7 linked regions of the Cricetulus griseus genome follow. The protein of the gene in region 2 purifies or fractionates together with the protein of the main gene of each other region. This does not show direct contact. Links are inferred from orthologs where the notes say so. Each region holds a gene or a part of one and is shown on either strand. Other genes may lie near its edges. The genes, in order: Mier2, Hdac2, Sp1, Pml, Znf217, Trps1 and Arid4b.

Evidence for each region.
Region 1: the proteins of Hdac2 (region 2) and Mier2 purify together in Homo sapiens (affinity purification with mass spectrometry; 3 studies listed by BioGRID and IntAct, counting the BioPlex papers as one, with this or other methods). This does not show direct contact. The link is inferred for Cricetulus griseus from reciprocal best matches to the Homo sapiens genes HDAC2 and MIER2.
Region 3: the proteins of Hdac2 (region 2) and Sp1 purify together in Homo sapiens (affinity purification with western blotting; 11 studies listed by BioGRID and IntAct, with this or other methods). This does not show direct contact. The link is inferred for Cricetulus griseus from reciprocal best matches to the Homo sapiens genes HDAC2 and SP1.
Region 4: the proteins of Hdac2 (region 2) and Pml purify together in Homo sapiens (affinity purification with western blotting; 3 studies listed by BioGRID). This does not show direct contact. The link is inferred for Cricetulus griseus from reciprocal best matches to the Homo sapiens genes HDAC2 and PML.
Region 5: the proteins of Hdac2 (region 2) and Znf217 purify together in Homo sapiens (affinity purification with mass spectrometry; 6 studies listed by BioGRID and IntAct, with this or other methods). This does not show direct contact. The link is inferred for Cricetulus griseus from reciprocal best matches to the Homo sapiens genes HDAC2 and ZNF217.
Region 6: the proteins of Hdac2 (region 2) and Trps1 purify together in Homo sapiens (co-immunoprecipitation; 4 studies listed by BioGRID and IntAct, with this or other methods). This does not show direct contact. The link is inferred for Cricetulus griseus from reciprocal best matches to the Homo sapiens genes HDAC2 and TRPS1.
Region 7: the proteins of Hdac2 (region 2) and Arid4b purify together in Homo sapiens (affinity purification with mass spectrometry; 4 studies listed by BioGRID and IntAct, with this or other methods). This does not show direct contact. The link is inferred for Cricetulus griseus from reciprocal best matches to the Homo sapiens genes HDAC2 and ARID4B.

Annotation. Positions count from the first base shown.
Region 1 is NC_048598.1:100,337,989-100,342,013, forward strand, and holds the start of Mier2 (mesoderm induction early response protein 2), read right to left. Parts: upstream 2,801-4,025; 5' UTR 2,741-2,800; coding exon 2,732-2,740; intron 2,709-2,731; exon of another isoform or gene 2,576-2,708; intron 2,523-2,575; exon of another isoform or gene 2,414-2,522; intron 2,314-2,413; exon of another isoform or gene 2,187-2,313; intron 1-2,186. Other genes in the region: mucin-1-like, read right to left, coding at 2,801-2,862, 2,954-3,644. UniProt on the Homo sapiens protein: Transcriptional repressor.
Region 2 is NC_048595.1:259,855,914-259,859,413, forward strand, and holds part of Hdac2 (histone deacetylase 2), read left to right. Parts: intron 1-731; coding exon 732-824; intron 825-899; coding exon 900-1,008; intron 1,009-3,500. UniProt on the Homo sapiens protein: Histone deacetylase that catalyzes the deacetylation of lysine residues on the N-terminal part of the core histones (H2A, H2B, H3 and H4).
Region 3 is NC_048595.1:398,783,863-398,787,933, forward strand, and holds the start of Sp1 (transcription factor Sp1), read left to right. Parts: upstream 1-1,271; 5' UTR 1,272-1,519; coding exon 1,520-1,526; intron 1,527-1,962; exon of another isoform or gene 1,963-2,099; intron 2,100-3,237; coding exon 3,238-3,395; intron 3,396-3,681; coding exon 3,682-4,071. UniProt on the Homo sapiens protein: Transcription factor that can activate or repress transcription in response to physiological and pathological stimuli.
Region 4 is NC_048597.1:169,821,363-169,824,142, reverse strand, and holds the end of Pml (protein PML), read left to right. Parts: coding exon 1-333; 3' UTR 334-2,280; downstream 2,281-2,780.
Region 5 is NC_048599.1:9,219,970-9,223,469, forward strand, and holds part of Znf217 (zinc finger protein 217), read left to right. Parts: intron 1-1,318; coding exon 1,319-1,435; intron 1,436-2,044; coding exon 2,045-3,500.
Region 6 is NC_048603.1:4,197,342-4,201,352, forward strand, and holds the start of Trps1 (zinc finger transcription factor Trps1), read left to right. Parts: upstream 1-1,211; 5' UTR 1,212-1,369; coding exon 1,370-1,379; intron 1,380-2,248; exon of another isoform or gene 2,249-2,374; intron 2,375-4,011. UniProt on the Homo sapiens protein: Transcriptional repressor. Binds specifically to GATA sequences and represses expression of GATA-regulated genes at selected sites and stages in vertebrate development. Regulates chondrocyte proliferation and differentiation.
Region 7 is NC_048596.1:237,192,700-237,196,934, forward strand, and holds the start of Arid4b (AT-rich interactive domain-containing protein 4B), read left to right. Parts: upstream 1-1,435; 5' UTR 1,436-1,686; intron 1,687-2,474; 5' UTR 2,475-2,523; coding exon 2,524-2,529; intron 2,530-4,235. UniProt on the Homo sapiens protein: Acts as a transcriptional repressor. May function in the assembly and/or enzymatic activity of the Sin3A corepressor complex or in mediating interactions between the complex and other regulatory complexes.

The sequences.
Region 1 (4,025 bases), on a different chromosome or scaffold from region 2:
AGCTCTAGGTCCTCAGAGAACCTCAGTGGTGAAGCATTCATCCCTCGAGAAGATGAAACAAGCAAACTACAGCCCAGAGACATCAAGATACTTATTTAGCAAGGACTCCAGAAGCCCCTCCCCTCAGCCAGGCCCATCTACTCTGAAGCACTATCGAAATACAGCACCCTGCCATGCAGCAAAGGGGTGGTGGGAGGCGCGGGGTGCATCCCCCTGGGAAGAGGTGCCAGTAAGCCCCCAAGGTTCAGGAGTGACCATAGCCCAACTAGCTTTTGAGGTGCCCCCACTTGGAGGCAGAGAGCTGAGGAAGATGAGGAGGCAGGTCCACCTGGGACAGCCGCAGGGCCTGGAGGCAAGGAAGAAACATGGCATTCGGGCAGGCTGTCAAGCATCTTACACTCTGTAACTGGTGTGGTGTGGCGAAGCGTCCTAACCTTGGAACACAGGCTACCAGACCCACCGGCCAATGTGAAGGCACTGGGAGGCTGCCCTAGTGTCCTTGGAACCATGCCCAGGGACTGTCCCTTTGTCCCTACAATCAGGAGCCCTAACTAAGAGGGGGGACACCAAAGGGCACCACAGTTGCACAACTGGCCAGCAACAGTCCCACAGCTTCTTTATCCAGACAGAATGAGAAGACCCTCCTGCTTTAGGCCAGGGGTCAACCTAAATAGGGGCTCAGGCAGAAAGGCTCTGAGAACACAACAGTGGTAGATGCAGCCAACTGAGAAACCACACAGCCTGCTCCTTGCCAACCTGGCCAAGTCCATCTCCAGGTGATCCTCAAAGTCCCCAAGACTGACTGACCAAGGCATACATATAAACATGGTCACTGGAAAACCAGCACATCACTTTAATGACACTTTAAAGGGTGGGTTCCAAGACCCTATTTCCCCACATCAGGAAAGACAAAGGCCAGCCCTCAGATCTCTGTGGCAGGAGGGAGGTTAGCCTTAAGATGATCCAGGTGACAACAGGACAAACACATTAGAGGCTGATTCCCAAGGAAGAGGCCAGAGGCAAGTGGGCCCCCAGCAAGGTCTCTGAGAACAGAGGATGCAGTGGGTTGGCATGGACACCATCACCCTGACTTGTCAGAAGCAGGGACACAGTGCCGGCAGCCCCTCACAGGCAGGTTTCCCAGTAAGATGCAGGGGACGCAGCTCTGGAGGCTGGGTCCCAGCATTCCATCTAGCATCTTTTGAACGACGGTCGCCATGAGAAAGCCCAAGTCCTGCAAAGACCTCATGTATGTGTGACAGCTGACATCCCCACGGGGGAGGAGCCTCAGCATTAACTCCAAGCCCAGCCAGTTACCTACAAATGGCAAGCCACAAGAGTCCCAGTGAACCACAAGAAGTATGAGAGGCCAGAACAAACGAATACTTAAAGAGCAAGACTCAAGAGAAAGGACCCACATCCACACCCAGGCAAGGGTCCCTGTGCCCCTGGTGCCCCAGCCTCACCCTTCCACTGTAGCAGCAGCTAGGCCATCCTGAGAGACGGGTTCAGCCTGTCTCCACCCACATGGAGCTAGAACATGGGACAACAAATTGATGGGGGCTCAACCAAGACAGAGGAATGAAGAAAACAAGGTGGAGGCTGGGAAGCTGGGGTCAGAGACGGGACAACTGGCAGGCAGCTCCATGGGAATTCAGAGAACTAGAAAGAAACCCAGGGGGTAGGTGGTCTCATGAGGACCACAGTGGGTAGGCACAGTGAAAAGATGTAGCGAGACCAGCCACCTGTGAGACACACGCTAACCAAGCAGCTGACAACCAAGGACTGCAAGATGCCCACTTTCAAGAGTTAAAAATATATGAACCCCGCCACAGGAGCAGAAGACACATCAGGATCCCACCGACCCTCTCAGCTACGGGAAGATACTACCCGGCTCCCTCAGAGAGGAAACTGAGGCCGGCACCTTCTGAATCCTAGACTCCAGGACAGGATGTAGGCACAGTCTGGGAAGTCTCCACCCAAGCCACCCAGGGCAGAGCAGCCTCCCCGGAGCCCAGGAGCCACCACTCAGCCACCATGCCCGAAAGCATGCCCGTCTTGTTTCATTAGGAGCCCGAAAGAGCCCTCCGGATCGAGCAGCCAGGAAGACACCACGGGGCCCCCGGAGCACGGCCCTGTGGCCCACGCGCGGGCCTGTTGCTACCCCAGCGGCCCCACTCGCGCACCGTGCTGAGTTCCAGTCCCGCAGTGGCGGGTTCGCGGCGCCTCGGTGAGGGCTGGTCCCGGGGCTCAGGGGCCGCACTCCGCGGTGCAGGTGAGCGCGGGGCTGAGCCCAGCAGCCCAGCAGCCCCGCGCCCGCGGGGAGGCCCGCGCCCGAGCTCCCACAGCCAGACCAACTCCACGCGCGAAACTTTCCGCTCGCAGAGCGCCGCGGACTCCGCGCCGTGCTCACCCCAGCACGCCGGGCTGCAGTCCCTGCGTCGCCGTCCCGGCCGCCAGCGCCGCCTGCCCGCCCACCCCGTCCACGGCGCCCTCCGCCGCGCGGCCCCGGGTCTCGGCCAGGCACCCGGCCGCCCGCGCCTCGCGCCCCTCCCCCCCGCCCGCGCATGCGCACCGTAGCTGAGATGGGGGGCGGGAGCGCCCACGGGGCTCCCGCTCCGGCCCGGGGCTGGTAGGGAGGCTCGGAGCGCTCGGGGTGGGAGAGCACGGGCCGGACCAGGTCTACCCAGGGCGGCGTGTGGGAGGGGCCGCTGCCCAGCCGCTCACTCACCTCCGCCATGGCCGAGCGTGCGCGCGGGAGGCGGCGGCCGCGAGGGTCCCCGGATGCGGTGCCGCGCGCTTATTGGCGGAGGCGCCGGGAGGCGGGGTGGGGCGGGACGCAGGAGGCACGTAGTAGGTGTGCTGGGGCGGAGCGGAGGTATATAGCCTCAGCCCTGTATGTCCCGCCCTGGCATCAGCCAAAGGGCTGATTCCTGTGTGCATGCCCAGCTACCAGGCGGGAACTGTCCACAGATGAGGGAGATGGAGCAGAGGTGAGGGACATGGCGCAGAGGTGAGGGACTTGGCGCAGAGGTGAGGGACATGGAGCAGAGGTGAGGGACATGGCGCAGAGGTGAGGGAGATGGCGCAGAGGTGAGGGACATGGCGCAGAGGTGAGGGACTTGGCGCAGAGGTGAGGGACATGGCGCAGAGGTGAGGGACATGGCGAAGAGGTGAGGGAGATGGCGCAGAGGTGAGAGAGATGGCGCAGAGGTGAGGGACATGGCGCAGAGGCGCAGAGGTGAGGGACATGGCGCAGAGGCGCAGAGGTGAGGGACATGGCGCAGAGGTGAGGGACATGGCGCAGAGGTGAGGGACCTGGTGCAGAGGTGAGGGACCTGGTGCAGAGGTGAGGGAGATGGCGCAGAGATGAGGGAGATGGCGCAGAGGTGAGGGACATGGCGCGGAGGTGAGGGACCTGGCGCGGAGGTGAGGGACCTGGTGCAGAGGTGAGGGAGATGGCGCAGAGGTGAGGGAGATGGCGCAGAGGTGAGGGAGATGGCGCAGAGGTGAGGGACCTGGCGCGGAGGTGAGGGACCTGGCACGGAGGTGAGGGACCTGGCGCGGAGGTGAGGGACCTGGTGCGGAGGTGAGGGAGATGGCGCAGAGGTGAGGGAGAGGTGCAGAGGTGAGGGGGCGTTGATCTAGAAGTGACAGGTGACATGGAACGGTCCACAAGGAAGATGTTCCACAGGTGGCGGGCCAGTCTACCGATGGGGGTTAGGGGTTGGAATGAGTGGATGGTCTGGAGGTGAGGGCTGTGGTCCAGAGGTGATGGGGAATGGACAAGAGGTGAGAGGGGATAGTCCAGAGATGAAGGATACAGCCACAGGTGGGTGGTGGAGGGGGTGGAACATGGTCCTGAAGTGAGGGGAAATGGTCTAGGGATGAGAGGGGGTGCTGCTGAGGTGAGGGATACAGGCCAGGAGGTAGCGAGCAGGAGCACATGGGAGCCTCAGGAACAGACCTGATGTCAGGTGGGGCAGTCAGAATGGGAGACACTTGGAGACACACCTGGGTTTGCA
Region 2 (3,500 bases):
AGCAGTGGGGTGCAGGATATCACACTGTCCTCAGATGGTTGTGGATTAGGGGAGGCCACACAGGGTCTTTATCCAGGATCAAGGGCACAGAGGACCACATAGACCCAGGGCTTCTTGGTAGGTTGTGTGGAAGACTGATTTTTGGGACCCTCACTGGGATTGTGGTCACAGGGCTCCAGGGTGGTGCAAAGGGTGCGGTTGGTATTGGCTCTGGAGACCTCCCTTACCAATGGTTCTGGGTCATAGGACACCTTTCAGTTTGAGAATGATGAAGTAAGTGGGGTCTGCCTTTACATCTTGTAAAATCATTTCATACCTAATCAGATTGAGGTTTGTAAGAACTTTTTACTTTGTTTTTGTGTGTTGGGAGTGATATGAGTATGGCACGTTAAAGGATACCATGCAAGAGTCAGTTCTCTCCTGCCATGTGGGTGGGTCCTGGGGATCAAACTCATTGAGCTTTACCTGCTCAGCCCTTCTGCCAGCCCAAGCTACAAGACTTGTGTTTTATTTGTATTAACTGAATGAATGATGCTGTTAAGTTTCTTCCCTAAAACTTGCTTTAGAGCTTAGGAAGTATGTCTACAAATACTGGATCATACACCTGTTTATTTTATTTTTTTTTTATTATTTCCTTTTTCAGATTTGTGTTGCTTGATCTTCTAATCATTTCAAACTAAGTCAAGTTTTTTGTTATGGAATAATCTCTTAAGATCTGTTTTTGTTTATAGGATATTGGTGCTGGAAAAGGAAAGTACTATGCTGTCAACTTTCCCATGAGAGATGGTATAGATGATGAGTCCTATGGACAAATTTTTAAGCCTGTAAGTACTGCTTTCAAAAGTAAAGTGGAGTTGTAAAATATCCTTAGATACTAATGTGTCTTGTTCTGAGTCTAGATAATCTCAAAAGTGATGGAGATGTACCAGCCTAGTGCTGTGGTGCTGCAGTGTGGTGCAGACTCACTGTCTGGTGATAGGCTTGGCTGCTTCAATCTCACTGTCAAAGGTAAGCGCTGCTTCCCACGAAAGTTCTCACTGTGGAGCGCTGAAGAGATGGTTAAGAACCTGGGTTCGATTCGCAGCTCCCACATGATGGCTCATGACCCAATGTTATTCCAGTTCCAGGGGATCTAGCACCCTCTTTGATTTCCACAGGCACCAGGCATCGCACATGGTGTACAACATACACATTTTTTAAAAAGTATTTTGAGAAAAAAAATTTAAGTTCTCATTGTTATTTTTTGCTTGCCAACTTGATGACTTGATGCCAAACTTTGTAGTTGTATGGGTTTTTTTGTTTTGGTTTTTTGGTTTTTTTGGTTTTTTGGTTTTTTTGGTTTTTTGGTTTTTTGAGACAGGGTTTCTCTGTGGCTTTTAGAGGCTATCCTGGAACTAGCTCTTGTAGACCAGGCTGGCCTCGAACTCACAAAGATCCACCTGCCTCTGCCTCCTGAGTGCTGGGACTAAAGGCGTGTGCCACCAACACCTGGTTTGTAGTTGTATTTTCAGTGGGTTTTTTGTTTTTGTTTTTTTCTATTTTTTTTCCCTTTTGTGGGGGGTGGGGTGGGGTTATGTGGCTGACTAGTAATCTTGTTTCCCAGCAAGTCCTTCCTGTGTTGCCATATTTGTGTTTATACATTTATCCATGAATAGTTAGTTGCCATCCTAACTGGCACAGGAGTTGTCAGTGTTTTTAATCCATTATATCAGTTTTAAATAATTTGTTTGCTGTTACAGTGATGAGGATTTGCTCTGATCTGCATGCTCTTCCCACATCTGTTCATAGCTGTAAGAATCTGGGCCATGGCCATTGCTAAACAGCAGCAGCACACCAGTCACTTTTTTGCTGACTTTTTTGTTTGCTTAGTTTCCTCTTTGCTCATTACTAAACTGAATTTGGAAATATATTCTGCTCAGCTGTATCAGGTGCTCCGTCCCTGACCTAAGAATGGTCCTCCTGTTTGAACTAAGTGTCCTCCTGGGTCTAGTGGGACATAGAGCCCTCTGCTTCTGTTTTACTACACCTCCCTGATCAGTGTGCTCTCCATTTCCCTCTTAGTTGTTACCTCTGGCAGAACACGTTTGTTTTGTTTTTGTTTTTTGAGACAGGGTTTCTTTGTGTAGCCCTGGCTGACCTGGAATTCTCTTTGTAGACCAGGCTGGCCTCCGCCTCCCACGTGGTAGGATTAAAGTTGTGAGCCACTACCACCTGGCTTAGAATAAACCTTTTTAAAGAACAAGCCTTCATAGTAAAGTTAATGTTTGGATCAGAAATGGCTTGTCATGCACATTGCATATATTGCAGTAAAGTCCTTTTTTTCCAAGTGAACTTTGCAGTAGCAATTAGCTTTAAATGAAGGCATCTTACTTTGAATTCTCTTATAAGATGTAAAGAATCCTAAAATAGCACTTTTAAAATAACTAAATATAGATGTTAACAACTACTTATGATTGCACTCTGCAGACCAGCCTTAGGACTGTGGTATAAGTCTGTTACCCTACTTCGCGTGTATTGAGTTGGCCACACAAAATTAGTTGCCCACTTTCTTGGTAGGTCAGCATTCAGTTAGCAGCACTGTCAAGTTGTTGCCTCAGAAGTGTTACTAACCATTTAGTGTCAAAGCAGATAGGAGTTCCCTGAAGTGACCTGTCTGATGTGCCCTTCTTTCTTGGTGCTAGCAACTTATACACTGCAATGAGCAGTAACCCCACTTCTAGTGTTTATATTTAAAAGTAGTAGTTTTCATTATAAACTGCATTTGACCCTTACAGTATATATATGTTGTGTTTCAGAAGGTAGAGGAAGTTCATTTGTGTAAAGCACATAAGGATGTTTGTAATTCCATTTTAAGACTTAGAATAAATGCACTTTCCTACGACTAGCCTCAGCTACATTCTCTCAGGCCTAGTGAAGTCAGCCACCTGATGTCCAACTTGCTCCACTTAATTGTTTTTTCCATGCTTCTTCCTCTTTGGGGTTCTAGCCTTCATTTTATAAAATCCCTTTATGGTTACTTGGCCTGGGCTGGGTGGTAGTATGGGATGCTGTTTTGCTGCTGTTCCTGTAGTCTGCATAGAAACTTCTGTCCTCACAAATGTCCACATGGTTCTATCAGAAACACTTGTTCCAGCAGGAGATGCCAGTTGACAATTACATGAAGGAAACAGTTAATTAAACATAAAAATAAACTTCCCTTAGTTAATGGTGATCTTTTTTCTTTATGTCATTTTAATTTTTTCCAAATTACTTTAAACTTTGTTATGAAAAGGTTACAAAAATCAACAAAGCATCACACACTGGAGTTAACCAGACCCCAAGACGGTAACTCACTGATGATCTATGCTGAGCGTTGCAGTGAAATATCCACCCCACACCTGTAGCGCTGACCACACTCAAACAGATGTGGTCACAGGTGCAGACATGATGGGTGGGTTTAGGTCTGGGGTCGGGACAGGTGGCTCTCTCTTGCTTCCGGTGGGGTCACAGAGGGCAGCCTG
Region 3 (4,071 bases), about 140 Mb from region 2:
ACAGATAACTGAGCTGTCACTTATTTTTTCCTAGGCCACCTCAGAGGCAGCAGATACCTCAGTTTCTATCTTCAAAGTGCTTTAAGCTGTCTAAAGGAGAATTCAGCTAGTAGTATTCACTGTAAGTGCTAAAGGTTTTTGGAGGCAAAATGGAAGCCGAGGATTGAAGTGCCTGGGGCAAAATCGTGAACCTTTGTGATTGCAAAAGGAAGTAACTAGGTTACTGTGCTTTCTGCTGAAGCGGTGTTTACGAGTAACGAAGTGAAAAGGGAGTAGTTTAGGAGAGCTTTGATCCCGGAAGTTTTCTAGTCAGTCTCAAAGAGTTCTGGGCCCTCGACTTAGCGCGTTCGGGACAGCTTAAGAAAATGGCGTTTGCTAGAGTTTCCCGAAAGCCTTCCATATTGGTGAGCTCAGAACTGACTGAGCTCTCGAGGGCCGTCACCAAGCTCTCGTCCCGCCCGCCGCCGCAGGGCTTCCACCCACGGCCAGGGGGAGCCGCCCACCCACCCCTGCAGGGGTGGGATTCGAGAGGGTGTCGGGTGCGAGATGTGAAAACTGGAGCGATCCCGTGTGGCGAAACACGCGGCGCTCGCCCGCCTCGGCAGGGACACTTGTAGAGCTGCAGGGCTCAGCTGGAGTGTACAACCTAACGACGTAAGGAAGTCTCCCGAGCAGGGCCAACATGGCGACGAACTCCTTTTGGCACAGCCCCTGTTCCCTCCTCACGATGGGCGGCCCCACAAACGACCATTGGCCAAGCTAGAGGCGGTGCCAGGGCTTTTTCTTCCCCTCATTGGCCTGAGTATCTGAGGAGGAAGCCAGGTCTCCTCTCCCCATTCCAAGTTCCAGCCTTCGCCTTTTATTCGGCGTCTAATTGGCTGTGAGCTCATGTCAATATGCATCCTGTTCCGGATCGTCTCAGTTATTGACCAATCAGAACTTTCTTAACTGCCCGCCTGAATCCTGATTGGTTTAGATAGCTTGATCCTATCCCATTCCGGCCTATTTCTTACTCTCCTACTAAACGGACTTTGCCCCGGCATGCTCAAGATTCTAATTGGTCCTTGTCCTGTCACTCCTTCCTAAGCTCGTCCTATCACCACCGTTCACGGAGCCCGCCCGGCGAATCACTGGTTTCTCTCCAAGTCGATCTTCCTTATGTCCCGCCCACTCTCACTTCCTGAAGCTTTTATTGGCTGTTAGAGCTGAGAGGGCGGCCTTTTAAGGCGGACACCAGCACGCAAGTTGGTCTTACCCGCCTTTGCGAGGGAACGAGTCTTCCCATTGGGTCGTCTGCCCGCCTTTCTACTGCAAGGCTCTCCTTTCTCCCTCCTTCATTGGGCGGGGCAGCAGATAAGGGGCGGAGACTAGGCCGGGCTTGTGGCGCGCTGCTCCCTCCTCCTTACCCCCCCTCCCTGTCCGGTCCGGGTTCGCTTGCCTCGTCAGCGTCCGCGTTTTTCCTGGCCCCCCCCAACCCCCCCGGACAGGACCCCCTTGAGCTCGCCCCTCAGCTGCCACCATGAGCGGTAAGGATGAGTCCACTCCATGCCTAGGGGTGGGAGGGGAGTGAGGGGGCGCGCGCGAGGGCCGACCGGGCGGTCCCCGCTGTGAGGGGGGGCGGGCGGGAGGCGGCGGCGGCGGCCTTGGTCCCGCCCGGGGCGGAGGGAAGGGAGGGAGAAGGGGCAGTCGCGGGGCCTCGGAGGAGGAGGGGGATGGGCCACCCGCCCCGGGGGAGGGGGCAGCGTGGCCTCGCCCGCCCCCTGCCCGCCCCGGCCACGGGGGACGGGCCTTACCCCCCACTACTCGGCCTGCCGCCTGAGGCTCCTCCCGTCGGGGGCTGGCGCCGCGGGGGCGGCCCGACCAGTGCAGGCCCCGCCTGGGCCAACCGCCTCCCCGGTCCGCCCTCCGGTCACTGCCTGCCCCAGGCCCTCCCCCGCACCCCCGAACATTTCCCTTCCCCCATCTGACCCGCCCTTTCCACGCCCCTCACCCCGAAAACGCCCCTTCCTTCTAAGGCCCGCCCTCTCAGCCCCAAACCTGGGTTCTAAGCCCTAGACCACTTTAGCCCCTTACCTGTATCCTCAGAAGTGTCCCTATCGGTACTTATGATGTACTCTGTCTGTTCCTGTTTTTATTTATTTAGCTTTACACTTGGTCTTTCTCCATCTCTCTTAATCCTAATTTTAGCACATTTTTCCATCCAACCACATGTTGGGTCTCTTCTTCCTCCCAGAATGCTTTTTTTTTTTTACTTTTGAGACAGGGTCTGTGTGGTACTATGAAAACCAGGCTGGCCTTAAACTTTTAGCCATCCTCATGCCTCTTCCTCCTGAGTGCTGAGATTACAGAGTGTGCCATGCCAACACTAGGGGCAACTAGTATTCCTGAGATACTGCCCTCAAATTCCCTTTTTCAGAAATGCTATTTGTCTTGTTTAAGGCCAGGTCTCACTCTAGTCCAGATAGACTTAGAACTGATGAACAGGTGTGAGTCACCATGCCTGGCTTCCAAAGCACTTTTTTGGGGGGTGGGGGTGGGGATGGGGGTTTGAGACACGGTTTCTCTGTGGCTTTGAAGGCTGTCCTGGAATTCACTCTGCAGACTAGGCTGGCCTTGAAGTCACAGAGATCTGCCTGCCTCCGCCTCCTAAGTGCTGGGATTAAAGGTGTGTGCCTTCACTGCTGCCACCACCACCATCCAGCTCGAAAGCGCTTTCTTTTTGGTTTTTTAAGACAGGGTTTCCCTGTGGCTTTGGAGGCTGTCCTGGAACTAGCTCTTGTAGACCAGGCTGGTCTCAAACTCAGAGTGATCCACCTGCCTCTGCCTACGGAGTGCTGGGATTAAAGGCGTGCGCCACCACTGCCCAGCCCAAAGCGCTTTTTGAATGGTTTTTGACTTTAATTTTGTACATGGGGAAATAGTGGCCCATCTTGGACACCATTGAGGCACATGCCTGTTCTGCATGCCTGGCATGAGATGCTGGCATCTCAACTGATGTAACTGAAAATTTCTTTGAACTCTTATTTCTCTTGCCTCCATGTCCCTCTTGCCTCCACTTCCAAATTCTGAGATTTCAGGCCTATCACCATATCTATATCTGGCCCTATTTCCTTTTTTACTCTGCTTTTAAACATTCTATTAGTCATTAGGCTGGTTATCAGAGCCTTATTTTAAACCTTTGGGTGATTTTTTTTCTCCTTCTTCCACTTTAAGTTATTGTTTTGTAATTATTTTTAGATCAAGATCACTCCATGGATGAAGTGACAGCCGTGAAGATTGAAAAAGGTGTTGGTGGCAATAACGGGGGTAACGGTAATGGTGGTGGTGCATCTTTTTCTCAGACTCGGAGCAGCAGCACAGGCAGTAGCAGCAGCAGTGGTGTCGGAGGAGGGCAGGTGAGTGATCAGTCAAAGGTGGGGAAGGTGTTGAGGGTGTAAATATTCTTAGAAAGTTCCTTAATCAAAAAGCTGGGAGAAAAAAAATACAGTAGTGAAGTACACACAGAAAGATAGATGATCTAGAGGGTCCCCAAATAAGAAAGTTGGAACAGTACACAAAAGTCAGCATTTTATTTCTGGTTTTTGCTCTTTATATGCCTGCATTGTTGCTGTTTGTCTGTTGAATACTGCCCCCTAGGCAGGCTATTGGGTGCCACTAACTCCTTTCCTCTCTTCTGGCCAGGAATCCCAGCCATCTCCTTTGGCTCTGCTGGCAGCAACCTGCAGCAGAATTGAGTCACCCAATGAGAACAGCAACAACTCCCAGGGTCCGAGTCAGTCAGGGGGCACAGGTGAACTTGACCTCACAGCCACACAACTTTCACAGGGTGCCAATGGCTGGCAGATCATCTCTTCCTCCTCTGGGGCTACCCCTACCTCAAAGGAACAGAGTGGCAACAGTACCAATGGCAGCAATGGCAGCGAGTCTTCCAAGAATCGTACAGTCTCTGGTGGGCAGTATGTTGTGGCTGCTACCCCCAACTTACAAAACCAGCAAGTTCTGACAGGTCTACCTGGAGTAATGCCTAATATTCAGTATCAAGTAATCCCACAGTTCCAGACTGTTGATGGG
Region 4 (2,780 bases), on a different chromosome or scaffold from region 2:
AGTAACTTACAGTGCTTCTCTTCCCTGCAGCCCCTAGTTCAGGCTAGTGTCCTGCCCCCGGCCGAGGCCCGCCTCTTGGCCCTCCACAATGTGAGCTTTCTAGAACTGCTGACTGCATACCGCAGCAACCAGCAAGAGGGTTTGAAGAGGTATGGCCGCTATCTGAGCCCGCAGACCTCTTCCTCATCGGCTTCCACCCAACTTGCTCAATACCTTCAGGCTCTGAACACCTACATGGAAGAACTGTCAGAAGGGTGTGCCCCAGCCAGGTCAGAAGGTAACTCTACTCTCTCTGGCCAGAGCTTGGCCAAAGAGGCCTCCGAGCAGAGCTGACAGAAAGGGATATCTGGCTTAGCCGGTAGCCACAGAGGGAGGGGCATCCTTGAGCCAGGCCCCACCCTTCACCACATTCCCAGGCCCTGCTCTCCAACACAGAGCTGTTCTTTAGTTCGGAATAGGTGCCCTTTATCTGGGACCAAACACTCTTTCTCTAAAATTCCTGCAGCAGACATCAAAGGCACCCCAGACCTAAGTCCTTCCTCTAGAAGACAGAATTAGGAAGACTTTACAAGGTGTGGCCTCTGGGCTCTCTGATTGGCCCTCATATGGCCCCAGGCACCTCACCTACAACTACCACGGGGGGCCTTGCAGCTCCTCCCTGATGCTCAATCAAAATGTCCCAAGTGATCTGCTGGTAGCTCCCACGAATAACACCCTCAGGCAGAGGTCCTCAACCTGCAGGTTGTGACCATTGGAGAACTCACATTTCTGGTGGTCTTAGGAACCCCCAGCCATAGCTGTAACCTTGCTGCTGAGCAGTGTCTCAATTGCTAAGATAATCAGAAATAAGTGTTTTCTATGGTCATGGCCCACAAGGTGAGAACCACTGCTCTAAGACAATGCTTACCACTATACCAGCAACCCCCTGGGCACCCAAAGTGCCTCTCAAACCAAATTGCCCTTCATGAATTTGGGTTCTCCCAGCTTCCACTGCCCAGAGACCAACTGTGCTCATGAAAAAAAAAAAAAACACTTCCATTCCAAAGGGGCCTTCTAGCATCAGAGAGCTAGAAGCTGTTGCTCCATCCATATCCCCGTTTCTACAGACTGACACTTCCAACTTTGTTCTTTGTTCATCAGGCCTTCTAACCCCCCTTGCACTCAGCCCTTTCAAGGGACACCCAGTAGGACACTTGCATCGAGACCTTTGGGAAGGTGGCTTTACCGAGGTCCCCAGAATCAGGCTGTCTGGAGTAGAGCCTGCAGCATTAACAGGTTCTCCGGGCAACGCTGTCTGCTCAGTTCTGAGCATCACTGCTGTCACAGACCACCTCCCCATCAAAGGGAAGTAGAGAAAACACCTGGCTGTGTACACTGAATATGATTAGGCCAGAGCTCTAGTGTTCTGTGAAATGAGCTGGCTGGCCTGCATTTTTATCTCAGAGTCCCCAGCCAGTTCTGTCATCCTGGTCTCTCAGTGTGGACAGCAGCTTGCTGGCGCAGCAGATAAGACCCTACCTCTCATGCCAAGCCACTGGTCCCCAACCTTATGATCATCTTGAACGTCAGCTTCCCTATGCTTATCTGAACTGTTGCTGGTGTTGTCCACCTCCTCACCCATTCCCTGCTTCCTGCTTCAAGGAATTTCCCAGATAGCCCAGAGGTCCGGTCTTGATAGGTTTGGTGGTCTCCACTTTCAAGTGAGCGATGCCTGCCCACACCTCTGACCCGTCCTGATGTTTGAAGGCATCCTGTAGAAGCCCATTTCTACCATGGTGAGACTGAGCTCTGACAGCAATCCATTAGAGCTCTGGTTCTGGGTGGGGCTGAGGATGTCGAGGAAAAGAGGCTAAGACCCTCGCCTGGCTATACAGGCAAGGCAGTGCTGGAGCCATGTCTCATACTGAGTCCCAGCCCCACCAGGCTGGCTGTCTTCAGTTTCAGCTGCTGCAGATTTATGACAAAGGGAGGAAAGAAGCCCTGTCCTGTCTGATGTTGCAGCCCTTATATGTGAATTTTTTTATTTTGGTTTTTTAAGGCAGGGTTTCTCCATGTAGCCCTGGCTGCCCTGGAACTCACTCTGTAGACCAGGCTAGCCTCAAACTCAGAGATCCACCTGCCCCTACCTCCCAAGTGCTGGGATTAAAGGTGTGCGCCACCACCAACAGGCTTATTCAGTAACATCATCATTATACCCACTGCCCAGGTGCCCAAGTCCCACTCTGGAGCTTTAATCTCTTAGTTTGACCTTTGACCAAAAATATCAAAGTTTAAATATGCTGTGTGTGCCATTTTCTTAAAAAAAAATTCTGTCAAGATTTATCCCACTACCACCAGCAACCATCAAAACCTTATTGGACTACAAGTTAGGGCACTGGAATTCAGTTCTTGGTAGCCAGTGGCCACAATGTGGCTGTTAACTCCCTGATTACAGGCAGCTCCTTTGAAAGTGAGATAAGGTGTATTGTATTTTACTTCATGAGGTCTTTGATAAGCTCAATGAGAAGATCAGTTTCCTGATCTTAAGGTCTTATTTCACAAACAAGATGAGAGTTAGCACTTTATAAGAAAGCCAACAGCAAATCTTAGCAAAATAGTAATATTAATACACACTATGTTGGGGCAGAGTGCCTAGGCCTGCAGGAGCCGATAAGAGTCTTGTAGCCTCTGAGCAATAGTTGACTCTGTGTTCCTTCCACACCCACTGGGAGAAGGACCTGGAGTAGAGAGCAGGCTTCCTGGAGCCCCTTGGCTCATCTCTATCCCAGCCCCTCTTTGGG
Region 5 (3,500 bases), on a different chromosome or scaffold from region 2:
CAGTCTATACACCCTGACACAGCTGGAGACTGGGTAAGCTGTGAGCCTAGCTGTAAATGCAGTGGGACTATAAGGGCTTCATCCACTGTGCTGTCAGCCAGTTTGTTTCAGGTTTACTTTCAAGAAGGTCAGAGAGTCTGAAGTATTTTCACCATCTCTGGTACCATTTTAGGCCAGGAGTTGTCATACGGATCTCTTTTCCTGGTGGGGATTTGGTGTAAATGGAGATGGCATAGACCCATTCATTACACCTGCTCTTACCCAGGTATATGGACCAACCACTTTTGCAAATTAGTGAGAAGGTAGCTTGTGGCAGAACAGGGAAGAACGAGGCCTGTAATTGGAAATAAGTTTCATAAGGCAAAATGACCAGTTTAAATATGCCATCTTGAACCCAGGTGGGACCTGTGCATTTGTGATGGACCACACCTGCCTCATGGCCCTGATGGCTAGATTGCAAGAGGTGGCTATGCTGGAAAGGCTAGAAACTCACTGGGGGGAGGGGGGGAGTCTTATACCTTCAAGTTGGTGAGCTGGTGAGAGTGAAACCCTAGCCCTCTTTATCTTTAGTTGGCTCCTGTCTCTGGTGGTCCTGCACACCAGGCACTTCAGCCTTGCCTTTCCGGTAGATTCTAATGAGCCTGGTTTGTTTTGCCCACGAGATTGCTTGGAAACCATGAACTCCACCTTCCCAAACTTGGCTAAATTTTGATCAACTTTCTTAGGTACTTGCCCAAAGCCAAGCCAGGGTTTACTGTTGAAGTTATTTTGAGCTTGCTGCCCCCTAGTGGTAACTTCCTTAATTTCAAGCTATTTTCTGCCTCCAAATAAAATTACTGGTTCTGAGTAATGAGGTTTCTCTGGCTAGTGGGCATGTCCACGCAAGTATGAACCAGGTTCAATACATGTCAGGTTCTGTCTGTCAAATGTCATTGTGGTGATTTAGGGTGCAGACCCTGAGTATGCTAGGGCACCAGGCTGTGCTCTGAACATAGAAGAACAGAGTGTAGTGTTGGGCACACACCTTTAATCCCTACCGTAGGGAGGCAGACAGGAGGGTTTCTGAGACCGGAGCTAGTCAGGGCTATAGACTGAGACCTTGTCTCCAAAACAAAAAACAAAAGCACACAGTGTAAGATATGAAATACTGCCTTATGGCATTTGGTATGTTATTTTAGCCTTTGAAACTTCTACCCAGAACTAAAATAAATTATTTTATGGTTTTTTCCAAATGTTTTGTGTCAAGAATACCAGAGTCCACACGTCTGAATCATGTGCTTCGTCTGACTTACACAAATGTTTTTGTTTCTGCTTTAAGATAAAAATGATGATGGAGGAAAAGCAAAGCCCCTCACGTCCTCGAGAGAGTGTAGTTACTGTGGCAAGTTTTTCCGTTCAAACTATTACCTCAATATTCATCTCAGAACGCATACAGGTAAAGGGCTTGATTCTTAAAGCATGTGTTAGCTGAAACTATTATGTGCTGCTCTGTGGTTCAGATGGCTTAAGTGTGTGCTGTGTCCTCTAACATGGCAGCAGCCCGAACACTGGGTCCCGTTTTGAGGCTTACGTTTTGAGGTTTACGGCTGCCATATTCTGGCTCTCATCTTAAGGCAAACCTGCAATATTTTTAATGTCACATTCTTTCAAAACCGCTTTATGATTTTGGAATGAAGAGAGGGTGTATTTGTTGATGTTTGGATGAAGGTGCAGCAGTAGCGTGGGTTAGGAAGTTGTGAGCCTGCCTTGTGGCTTGGGAGCACTGATAACAATCCCCGTGCTCCTATTTCCTTCGCTGTGAAATGTGCAGACTCTGCCATCGGGCAGCAGTGAAGGTCAGTTCAGTAAAAGCGTGCCGTGAGCTTTTCCTGGGAAAGACAGGTTTAAGTGAGTGTTGAGCACACTGGGGCGTGAGCTGTCCTAGATAGATACGAAGATTGGTCGATAGGGAGCAGCCCATGGTTTGTGTCATGGCTTGGCTAGCTTGCAGAGTTTATTGATGTCTTTCCTAAACATCATCTTACACTGGCTTATCTCGTTCTAGGTGAAAAACCGTACAAATGTGAATTCTGTGAGTATGCCGCAGCCCAGAAGACATCTCTGAGATACCACTTAGAGAGACATCACAAGGACAAGCAGCTGGTGGACGCTGCGGCTGAGGTCAAAAGCGAAGGCCGGAGCCAGGAGCCCCAGGAAGCACTACTAACTGCCGACAGTGTGCAGACCAAAAATTTAAAGCGCTTTCTTGATGGTGCCAAAGATGTTAAGGGCAACCCATCTGCCAAGCAGCTTAAGGAGATGCCGTCTGTTTTCCAGAGTGTTTTGGGCAGCACTGTCCTCTCACCAGCACACAAGGATACTCAGGATTTCCATAAACATACAGCCGATGATGGCGAGAAAGTGCGAAAGAGTCCTGCCCCTGCTTATCTGGACATGACGAAAAAGAGAGCAGCAGGCGAGCCTCAGGCCAGCAGCCCTGCCTGCAAACTAGAGGGGGCTGGGCCCCTGGCACGGGAAGCTGCCCATAGGGAGAAGATGGAGTGGGAGGCTGACTGCAAATACAAGCCTGGTGCTGACTGCCAGGACAGTCCTTTGAATCTGTCCCTTGGGCCACTCCACGCCTCTCCTGCCATCACCCTTAACAAGTGTCTCATTCCTAGCATCTCCTGCCCCTTTTGTACTTTTAAGACCTTTTATCCAGAAGTTCTGCTGATGCACCAGAGACTGGAGCACAGGTGGCACCCTGACACCCCCAAGAACTGTGGCAAGTCAGTGTCCAGGAGCCGGCGGACAGGCTGTCCTCCTGCCTTGCTGGGCAAAGATGTGCCTCCCTTGTCTGGCCCGCACAAGCCAAAGGTCAAGCCTGCTTTCTCATCACAGGCCAAGTCCCTGCACCCAGAGAAGGTCCGACAGGGCTCCTCGGGGCCAGGCAAAGCTCCCCAGACATCAGGGCCAGACAGCAGCACTTTAGCCCCAAGTAACCTGAAGTCACACAGGTCACAGCCTAGTACCGGGGGTCCTGGGGCCACCAGGCAGCAGCAGTCAGATCTGTTTCCCAAAGGTGGCAGTGTCTCTGCTGCTGCAGATAAGGTGAAGAGACCCGAGCCGAAGCTCAAGGCCCCGCCAACTGCCCCATCTCAGTCCCCCCTCGGCAGTAGTAATGGCAATGGCTCCATCGAGTATTCTGTGAAGGTTGATGGCCCGTGGGTGCCACAAGGGAGAGACTACTACTGCCATCGGAATGCTGGCAGTGCCACAGCAGAATTCACTGAACCACATCCTAAAAGACTCAAATCCAGTGTGATGGCCCTGGACACAGAACATTCTGGGCCCAACGGCAGGAGGGGCTTTGAGCTCCCCAAGTACCACGTGGCCAGGAGTATCACCTCGCTGTTACCATCAGAGTGTGTGCGCCCATCACCTGTGCTGCTCCCCAAAGCCCGCTTCCTGAGCCCTGGGGAGGTGGAGTCGCCCAGTGTGTTGACTGTGCAGAAGCCCTA
Region 6 (4,011 bases), on a different chromosome or scaffold from region 2:
CGGGTGCTCGGGGCGGGGCGGCGGCGGCGGCGGCGGCGGCGGCGGCGGCGGGGACGCGCCTGTCTCTTTAAGGGAGCTGGGTCTGGGGTGGCGCTTTCCTCCGCGAAGGCTCCTTTGATATTAATAGTGTTGGTGTCTTGAAACTGACGTAATGCGCGGAGAGTGAGGTCCTGACAAGCGATAACATTTCTGATAAAGACCCGATCGCGTTGCAATCTCTCCTCCAGCGTCCTCGCGCTCACCGCTGCTCGCTGCCTCCGGACCCCGCGTCCTGCCGATCGCTCCCTCGCCTCTGCCTATATTTTATTTTTTTAATTATTATTTTTTTTAAAAACAACAACAACAACAACAACAACAACAACAACAACAACAAAACCTCAACAACACCCCCTCCCTTCTCCCACCCGGCACCGGGCACATCCTAGCTCTATTTCCTTTCTCTTTCTCTCGCTCTCTCTCTCTCTCTCTCTCTCTCTTTTTTTTCCGGGGGGGGAGGGAAGGGAAAGGGGGGGAGGCAGGAAAGATCTTTCTCTCCCCCCCCCCAATAATCCAAGATCAACTCTGCAAACAACAGAAGACGGTTCATGGCTCTGGCCGCCGCGCCACCATCTTTCGGGCTGCGGAGGGTGTTCCTGACGATTAATCAACAGGTAAGGGGGAGCCTGGCGGGCGGGCGGGCGAGCGGGCGAGCGGGCGAGCGGGCGGGCCGGGGGGCGCGGGGCTCAGCCGGCCGGGGCGCCGTTCCGCCAGCGCTGCGCCCCGCGCGAGTGTGCGCAAAATGTGGGCGATCGCGAGCGGGGAGCCCTGGGAATTAAAAGTGACTTTCTTTGAAAAAAAAAAAAAAAAAAAAAAGCCCAGCCGAGGGAGAGAGAGAGAGAGAGAGTGTGCTGCAAGCAAGCGCAGGCTTCTCGGGTTTCACACGCATTTTTTTCTTCCTCCCCCCCCTTTGCGCGTGTGATTTCTTTCTTTCTTCTTCTCTTCTGTTCCCCTTCGTCCCCCCCCCCACAACACCAACCACCCCCCCCAATTCCTCTGCCCCCTTTGCTGGGTCTAAGGCATCTGAGCCTTGGAAACCAGAGAGACTTCAAACTGCAAGTAGCCCCCAGAGTCAGGAGGGTCAAGTTCAGCCGCCGGGGAGGAGGAAAAACAAATCCCGATTTGCCAAAAAAAGAAGTTTCAGGCCGGTGCCCCCTCCCCCCCCCTCCCAGCCCCACTCCCCCTCGCTGCTGTCTCTTGCTGGCTGATTTTAATTCTCTCCTACCGGGAGCAGCAGAGAATCTGGAGGTGGCTGGACCCGAGGGGCCGCCGCCGCCGCTGCTGCAAGTTTTCTGGGGGCTCCTGACAAACGGGGAGCAGACTGGGCACCGGCATGCAGAGTAGTAAGTTGGGTGAACTTGGCTGGGTCGGGAGGGTTTCCGAGAGGGGGTCCTGGAGTGGCCCTCGGAGTGGTAAAAAGAAAGAAAAAAGAAAAAACAAAAAACAAAACGGCATAGACTGCCTTTGGTTTTTCAAGAGTTTAGTTTGCAGAGCCAGGCTTCAAACTTTTTTTTTTTTTTTTTTTTTTTCTCTCTTAAAGGCCCAGCTGGGCTACAGGGAGAGAGGGATTGTGGCATCCCCTGGTGTGCCCGTCTCTGGGCAGCTCAGGGCAGCTCAGGGCAGCCTGGGCCCAGGGGTCTGTGCCCTGTCGGTACCATGAGGCAGGCAGGGCCTTGCAGCCAGGGAGCTTCCGTAGGGGCTGAGAAGGGGCAGACTTCCTCTGCGGTGCGGTTGATGCGCCATGTGTCGAGCGGGTCAGGGGACACTGGCTGGTGATTAAACGCCTGACAGCGGTGGGACATGCAGGCAGGCAGACAGGCTCTTTGCTCTCTGTCTAGTTCCTGTTTGGGCTGTAGAGTCTGAAACGCATCTTTGAAAGGCCAAGGCAAACACCTCTATCCCTCCAAATAACTCCAGGATTATAGGACCCCATGAATAATTTGAGGGGGAAGCCGAGGTGGAAGCCGTTTGAAGTGCAAAGCTGTTTTTGTGGCTGGAGAAGCTTTTTTTTTTTTTCTTTTTTTTTCTGTGAGTACCTGTCTGCGATGGTGGTGTTTTCCCCTTTCACCAGGGAAGTCACTAACTGTTTTACAGCGCCAGGACTCTAAAGCCATTGAAGTGAGGCGACCAGGGACCAGAGAGGACTTAACTGGGAATCTTGCTGGGGCTTACTACACTTTAGGACCTGGCTGACTTCCCCATATCTTTTTAGGCCTCACATTTGATCCTTTGAAAGTTTTTGAGTCAGAGCCATGGATTTAATGATGAATCCAAATTAAGATAGAGTATCCATCCTTATCCGGTTCTGGGAAATCACCGCTAGCGTTTTTTAAGCAAGGTAAGTGAAGAGAGAGAGGGGTCGAGCCGAGAGGTGAAATCAGGCACAAGTTAGGCCGATTCATTGAACTTTTCTAAGCCCTCCAGGTGAACAGGAAAGGGCCTGGAAGAGATAATCAGCACAAAGGCAAAAATACAGATAAGGGCCGGAGACAAGATTACAGAGAACTCATCATTCTAGGCCTTGTTGGCTAAATTTGATTGCTCAAGGGGGGGAAAAAAAGAACAGGGCTTAAGTCTTCAGAGTGTTGTAAACTCCTGAGCACAAACCCACCAGTCTCAGTCTCAGTCTCAGTCTCAGTCTCAGTCTCTCTCTCTCTCTCTCTCTCTCTCTCTCTCTCTCTCTCTCTCTCTCATTCTTTTCTGCAGGTTTTAGAAAGAGTTGGTCATGTAAAAAGGCTGTCAGGGTTAAAGATGTTAGGGACTGTCAGGAAAGTAATTGCAGCTAGCAAGCAGGTCCCTGACTGGGCAAAAAGAGAAGGAAAAGTCTCTAATCTCACAGCTGGGCAGCTTCTTCCATGCAGTTCCCTTGCTTCTGAGGCTCTCCCAGTTAGCGTAGCACTTGTGTGGAAAAAGCAAAGGTTCGAAAATAATCACCATGAGGCCGGCTTTCCCTCACTTTTCCTTTGCCCAAGTATGACAGGCTTGTGAATAAATACAGGGTTTGTATGGGAAGATGAAGCATTTCCTGTAAGTTTCGATGCTGACAGGACAGTCTGGAAATGATACCAACATTTGAGGGTTCTTTTTTTTTTTGTTTGTTTTAACCTTTGAGTGAAAGTTTATTAATGGCCTGCTCAAAGTTCACAACTTAAACTTATATGTTCATTGAGTTTATCCTTTGGTAGATTTCCTAACTTCCTTTTAAAAGCTGTACACTTGTATTGAAAACATCTCCAGTCAAGTTACATAGACAGGGCCGTGAGTGTGCTGGTTGGATGATTATTTCCGGGTTTTAGTACTGTGGAAACAACTGCAAAGGTGGGAACAGACTTACAGTGACTCTGTGCTGCCGTGATTTCTCCAAATGTAAGGCACTGGGAAGACCTATCAGTACAATACGGCAAACTACTACTTGCCTCTCGAGAGTGGATATTGGTGGCCTCCTGATGTGCCTTTGGTGTGTGAGCCTGGAATACTTTTCCAGGCATAATAACCAAGTCTGACACTCTCCGAATAACTGGTAGGAAGTACCTAGCAAAAAAAGTTTGTCACTCCGGAATTTTATATAGTGCTGCTGGGTTGCTCTTGTCCTTTGTTAGAGCTGACATGAAAGGTGTGGAGGAGAGCTGCCAGAGTGACTGTGACTCCTGAGTTGAATTCCGAGCTGCACACTTTGATTTCTAATATTGTGAACGATTTTGCAGAAATTTCTGGATACTTTCAGACAAACCCGTTTGGTATCCAAATTGGTGTGCATTTAATCACGAGTGACCTACATAGACCCTTACTTTGCTTTTGGCATCATTTTTGCTTTTCTTTTAAGTCCTGAATTTATTCTAGTTTCCACTGTAAGACTCTGCGAGATGCAGAAGGGAATATTCATTCATAAGAAAACCTTCCAAACACGGAAATGAGTGCCTCGTTGGGAATGCTGCCTTTAATAGCCTGGTATTTCAGTGGTGCTTTTACTAATAT
Region 7 (4,235 bases), on a different chromosome or scaffold from region 2:
GAATCCAACGTATCCTATTGTTCACTGGGCCATTAGAACAGATTAAACCTGTTTTAATTTTTTTTCTTTCTTTCTGGTGACAGGGTCATCCTGTGTAGTCTAGGATGGCCTACCATGCACAGTAATCCTCCTGCTTCAGTCTCCAGGGTGCTGGATCAAAATTCCTTAACCAACCTTCCTCATCATACTGGCAAAGCTTTCTCCTGAAACGGGTTCCCAGCATGTTCTTTCTGGGCTCTCATTTCCTTTAGGCTCTTCTGCTGGCTTCTTGAGTCAAGCTCTGTCCTCACTCCTTCAGGAAAACCGCTCTATACTTCCCTGAGCCAAAGTTCTAATCCACATCCTCCTATCACGCTTCACTTTGTCTGAGCAGACGCGTTCAGGAAGTTGTACACGGTCCATCTCGTCTTTCCATTAAGATGACTGACCTTCTCCTAACATCTCAGAGGATAAAATCAGCGCATCAGCACGCATACAAATATTGAAAATTCCATGCAGAGTATTTATTTATTTTTTAATAGGCAGGCTCTGACTTGAAACTAGCTACAGATAGGGGCTACCAAGAAACGCAGCTGAGACGCGCACAGCAAGATCTTTTCACTCCAAGCCGGGGGAATGATAGCTCTGGGGAAAAGGGCTCGACACGGGCAGCGGTGTAATAAGCTCGCAGGCGGGCTTCTCCCCTGAGCCGCATCGGTACCCCCTTCCACTCCTCGGAGCTCCTTTGCCTCCCACGCGTCCCACCACCCGGTCGCTAGTCACCCCGATCCGGGTCAGCATCCGGGTCCTCTCCCTCCTTTCTTCTTCCTCCTCGGTACCCCCTCCCCCGCTCCCCATCCGGGTCCCCCCCTGCCGCTGCTCACGGTTCCACGATGATCTCAGACTTCAAGCCGCCGGTCCGAGACAAGCAGTACCCACATCAACTTCTCACTTTTTAGTTCAGACCGCGGCTCTTCGCGAGACCTCCTTGGAGCCCTCCCACTACTTCACCACAGAAATCTCCGCCCTCCTCAGCGGCCACCGCCGCCGCATTACTCGGTGCAAGAAAATACGCCATCCCTGTCACACTGCGCAAGCGTCGTATGCCACCTCCCCTCTACCTTATGGCCGCGCCCCCTTCCCCTCCCCGCTCCCGTCGAACTCAGGCAAGGGGCATTGCGGTCTTGGTAGTTCTTATGTCCGAGAGTTTGCCAATTGGCTCGGAAGAGTGGACTACAAATCCCAGGAAGTATCGAGGCATAACTTTCTGTTTCCATAGAACTGGTGGGAAAATGGCGTCGTTGTTTGCATCGCTCAAACCAATAAAAACTTGGAAGAGGCGGGCTCCGAAGAATCCTAGCCAATCCTAGATCGTCTGAGAGGCATCCGGGAAAGAGGTAGGGGAGGGGAAAAGAACCGAGGGGAGGGGAGAAAGGGAAAGGGGGGCCGGGGTGGGGGGAAGCGATGTTTGCCCGTCAGTCGAGTCCGGAGTGAGGAGCACGGGCGCCGGAGCGAAGGGAGAGTCTCCAGCCACAGCTTGCCGCCGCCGCGGCCACCGCCTGGACGTCTGCCCGGAGGGAGCCGCAGAAGGTCGGCCGCCGCGGTCCTCGGGAGGGCAGCGAGACCGGGGCCCGGACCTCCGTCTGGGAGGGATTTTTCGTCGCCCCCCTCCCCCCGCGAGGGAGCCGGAGCGGCCGCCAAACAAAGGTACCAGTCGCCGCCACGGGAGGAGGAGGAGCCGGAGCCCCGGCCGCCGGCGGACCCGCAGCTTCTTCGCCATCTCTCCCCTGGGCCTGCTGGTGTTGGGGGGTTGGGGGGGGAGGCGGAGCGGGGGGACTCCGGCCGCACGCCTCAGACCTCGTCTGCCCCGGAGGTAGGGGCATTATTTTTCGTGGGGGAAGCTCCGGGCCGGGCCGCGCAGCGGGGCAGATGGCATCGGGGCTGAGTCGTCTCTTGCAGCGGCGCCTCGGCCTCCCGGGACCCCCGCCCCCCGCGGTGCTGAGCCGGAGCCGCCCTTCCCTGGCCGCATCGTGGGCCCCGCGGCCTCGGCCCGTGGGGCTGGGAACTGGGTGTCCTCGGTGCCCGTGCCCGGCCCCGGCTCCCACTTGTGGGCCCGGGCTCGGGCGGGACGCGGACGGGCTCTGTGGGGTCGAGCCGCCGCAGCCCGAGGGCCCACCGGTTCACTCAGGGCTCAGCCCCGGGGTTCCGGGCATCGCGGTTCCGTGGGCTTGGACGGCTGCAGCCGCGCTCCAGGCCGCGCCGGACCCTGCGCTTGTTGTGAGTTTTCTTCTGACAGAAATGGCGTCATCGTGGAGGACGGAGAAAAGTCCGTGGAGTCGCGACAATGGGGCGGCAAGAGGAGGGCGGTGGGGGCGGTAAGGGCTCTGGGATGGCGCGTGCCTGCTCGGGCTCCTGGCCCCACTCGGTGCCGCCCCCGCCCCGACGGCGCAGGGGGTGCCGGTGGTACTGACCGGGTGTCTTTGTTTCCCCTCCAGGTGCAGGTGAAGCTGGTGTCGCCGTGGGGATCGCGGCCCCAGAGTCACCATGAAGGTAAGGCGTCACTCAAGCAGCTTGAGTGGCTTTCGAATTCAGGAAGTGTAGGGGCCGTGTCTGTGGCGGGCCTGCGAGTTTTGCAGAGGCAGGTGTGTGGAGTGGCTTAGTGAGGAGCTTTCCCTGGAGACAGAGGGTCAGCTGGTGCGAACATCCACGGGCTGTGTCGTGGAGTTGTGGAGTCAGTTAGGAGACTGTGTCACCAAAGCTGTGCGGCTCCGGAATAGAACAGCGAGCGCCTTTTGCATGGAACCTTAGGAACAACTGAACGAATTAAAGCGTCTTAATTCATAAAACAGAAAGCTGGTCTAGTAACCTGACTCTTGAAACAAACAGTACTGCTATACAGTGGGTCTGTCTGTTAATGCCGATGAAAGAAAATTTCGTTTGATTGTGTCTCAGAGCCATGAATTTTAAGCAAAAAAAATTTTTGAAGATGTTTGAAGCAGTTTGTTGCTCTTTATCTTTAGCAGTTTGTTGCTCTTTACCTTTAGAGATCTATTTGGCCTGTTGCACCTTGTATTTCCAGGGACTAAGGGTTGTGTGGTTCATTTTTCTTGGAGTTGTCACGTGCTCTGCTGTGATGTGTTGTGTGGAAAACTGATGGCCAGGTTCCTCTAAGTAAATATGTTGACCGCAGAATAGCTTCTAAGAAATGTGTCTAAGAACTAGTTTGTGAATTGGTGGAATAAATCATGGCAATAAAAATACAGGTGTTTTTTTTTTTGTCATTTTAGGAAATTGTAAAGTTTTTTTTTTTTTTTTTAATTCCAGTGGCATGAAAAGATTTGGGTTTCTGATATATCTAGATTTAACTGGTTGAATCTTGATACTAGAATATTTTTTCCTTTGAATCTATACAAATTAAGATGTGCTTGAAAACGTTAGTAGTGTGTGTTTACCCGATTGAAATGTAACCGATAACATGTCAGAATGCAAATGGCATCTACTCTTGACAGTTCTTTTGGGTTGTTTTCTTCTTTTGTTAAAATTATTTTCTCTTATCTCCAGAGTGAGAATTTCTTTTGTAGGACTGCATCCAGGTAGAGTTTCAAAAGCTTCTTTTTTGCGGGGGAGGGGGTTTTGAGGCAGGCTTTTTCTGTGGCTTTGGAGACTGTCCTGTAACTAGCCCTTGTAGGCCAGCCTGGTCTTGAACTCACAGAGATCTGCCTGTCTCTGCCTCCCAAGTACTGGGATTAAAGGCAGGTGCCACCCTCCCCCCCATCTTCTGTTTATAAAAGAATATAAATGCTCTTGCCACTTAAATATTTGCTTATTGTACAAAGCAGGTTAGCCCATTTTTAAAGGTGTTTTTTTTTTTTTTGTTTGTTTGTTTTTCTTCAAGTTTAGGGCTCTGTAGATGGCTTGGTTTTTGTTTACTGAGTTCCTGTCTTACTTTCATGTGAATGAAAACATAACCAGTGATATGTCAGAGATGAAACCCTTTTCTTCTTAGTCATAGGTGTATAACCTGAGTGAAAACTGAGTTTATTAGGAAAAGGTCAGGTTTTTAGGAAAAGCATGTAATTGCCTTGCTGTTTGATGAAAACTTGGGAAAAAATTTTAAGTTGACTGATACATGTTTAATAAATTTGGAAGATGAATACATTTTCGGAATGTTATAATCTGTCACAGTTCCCATTATAATGCCTGCCTGACATATCTTAGAATGTAAATGTTTTTCTGAAAGGGTTATACCAAATTGA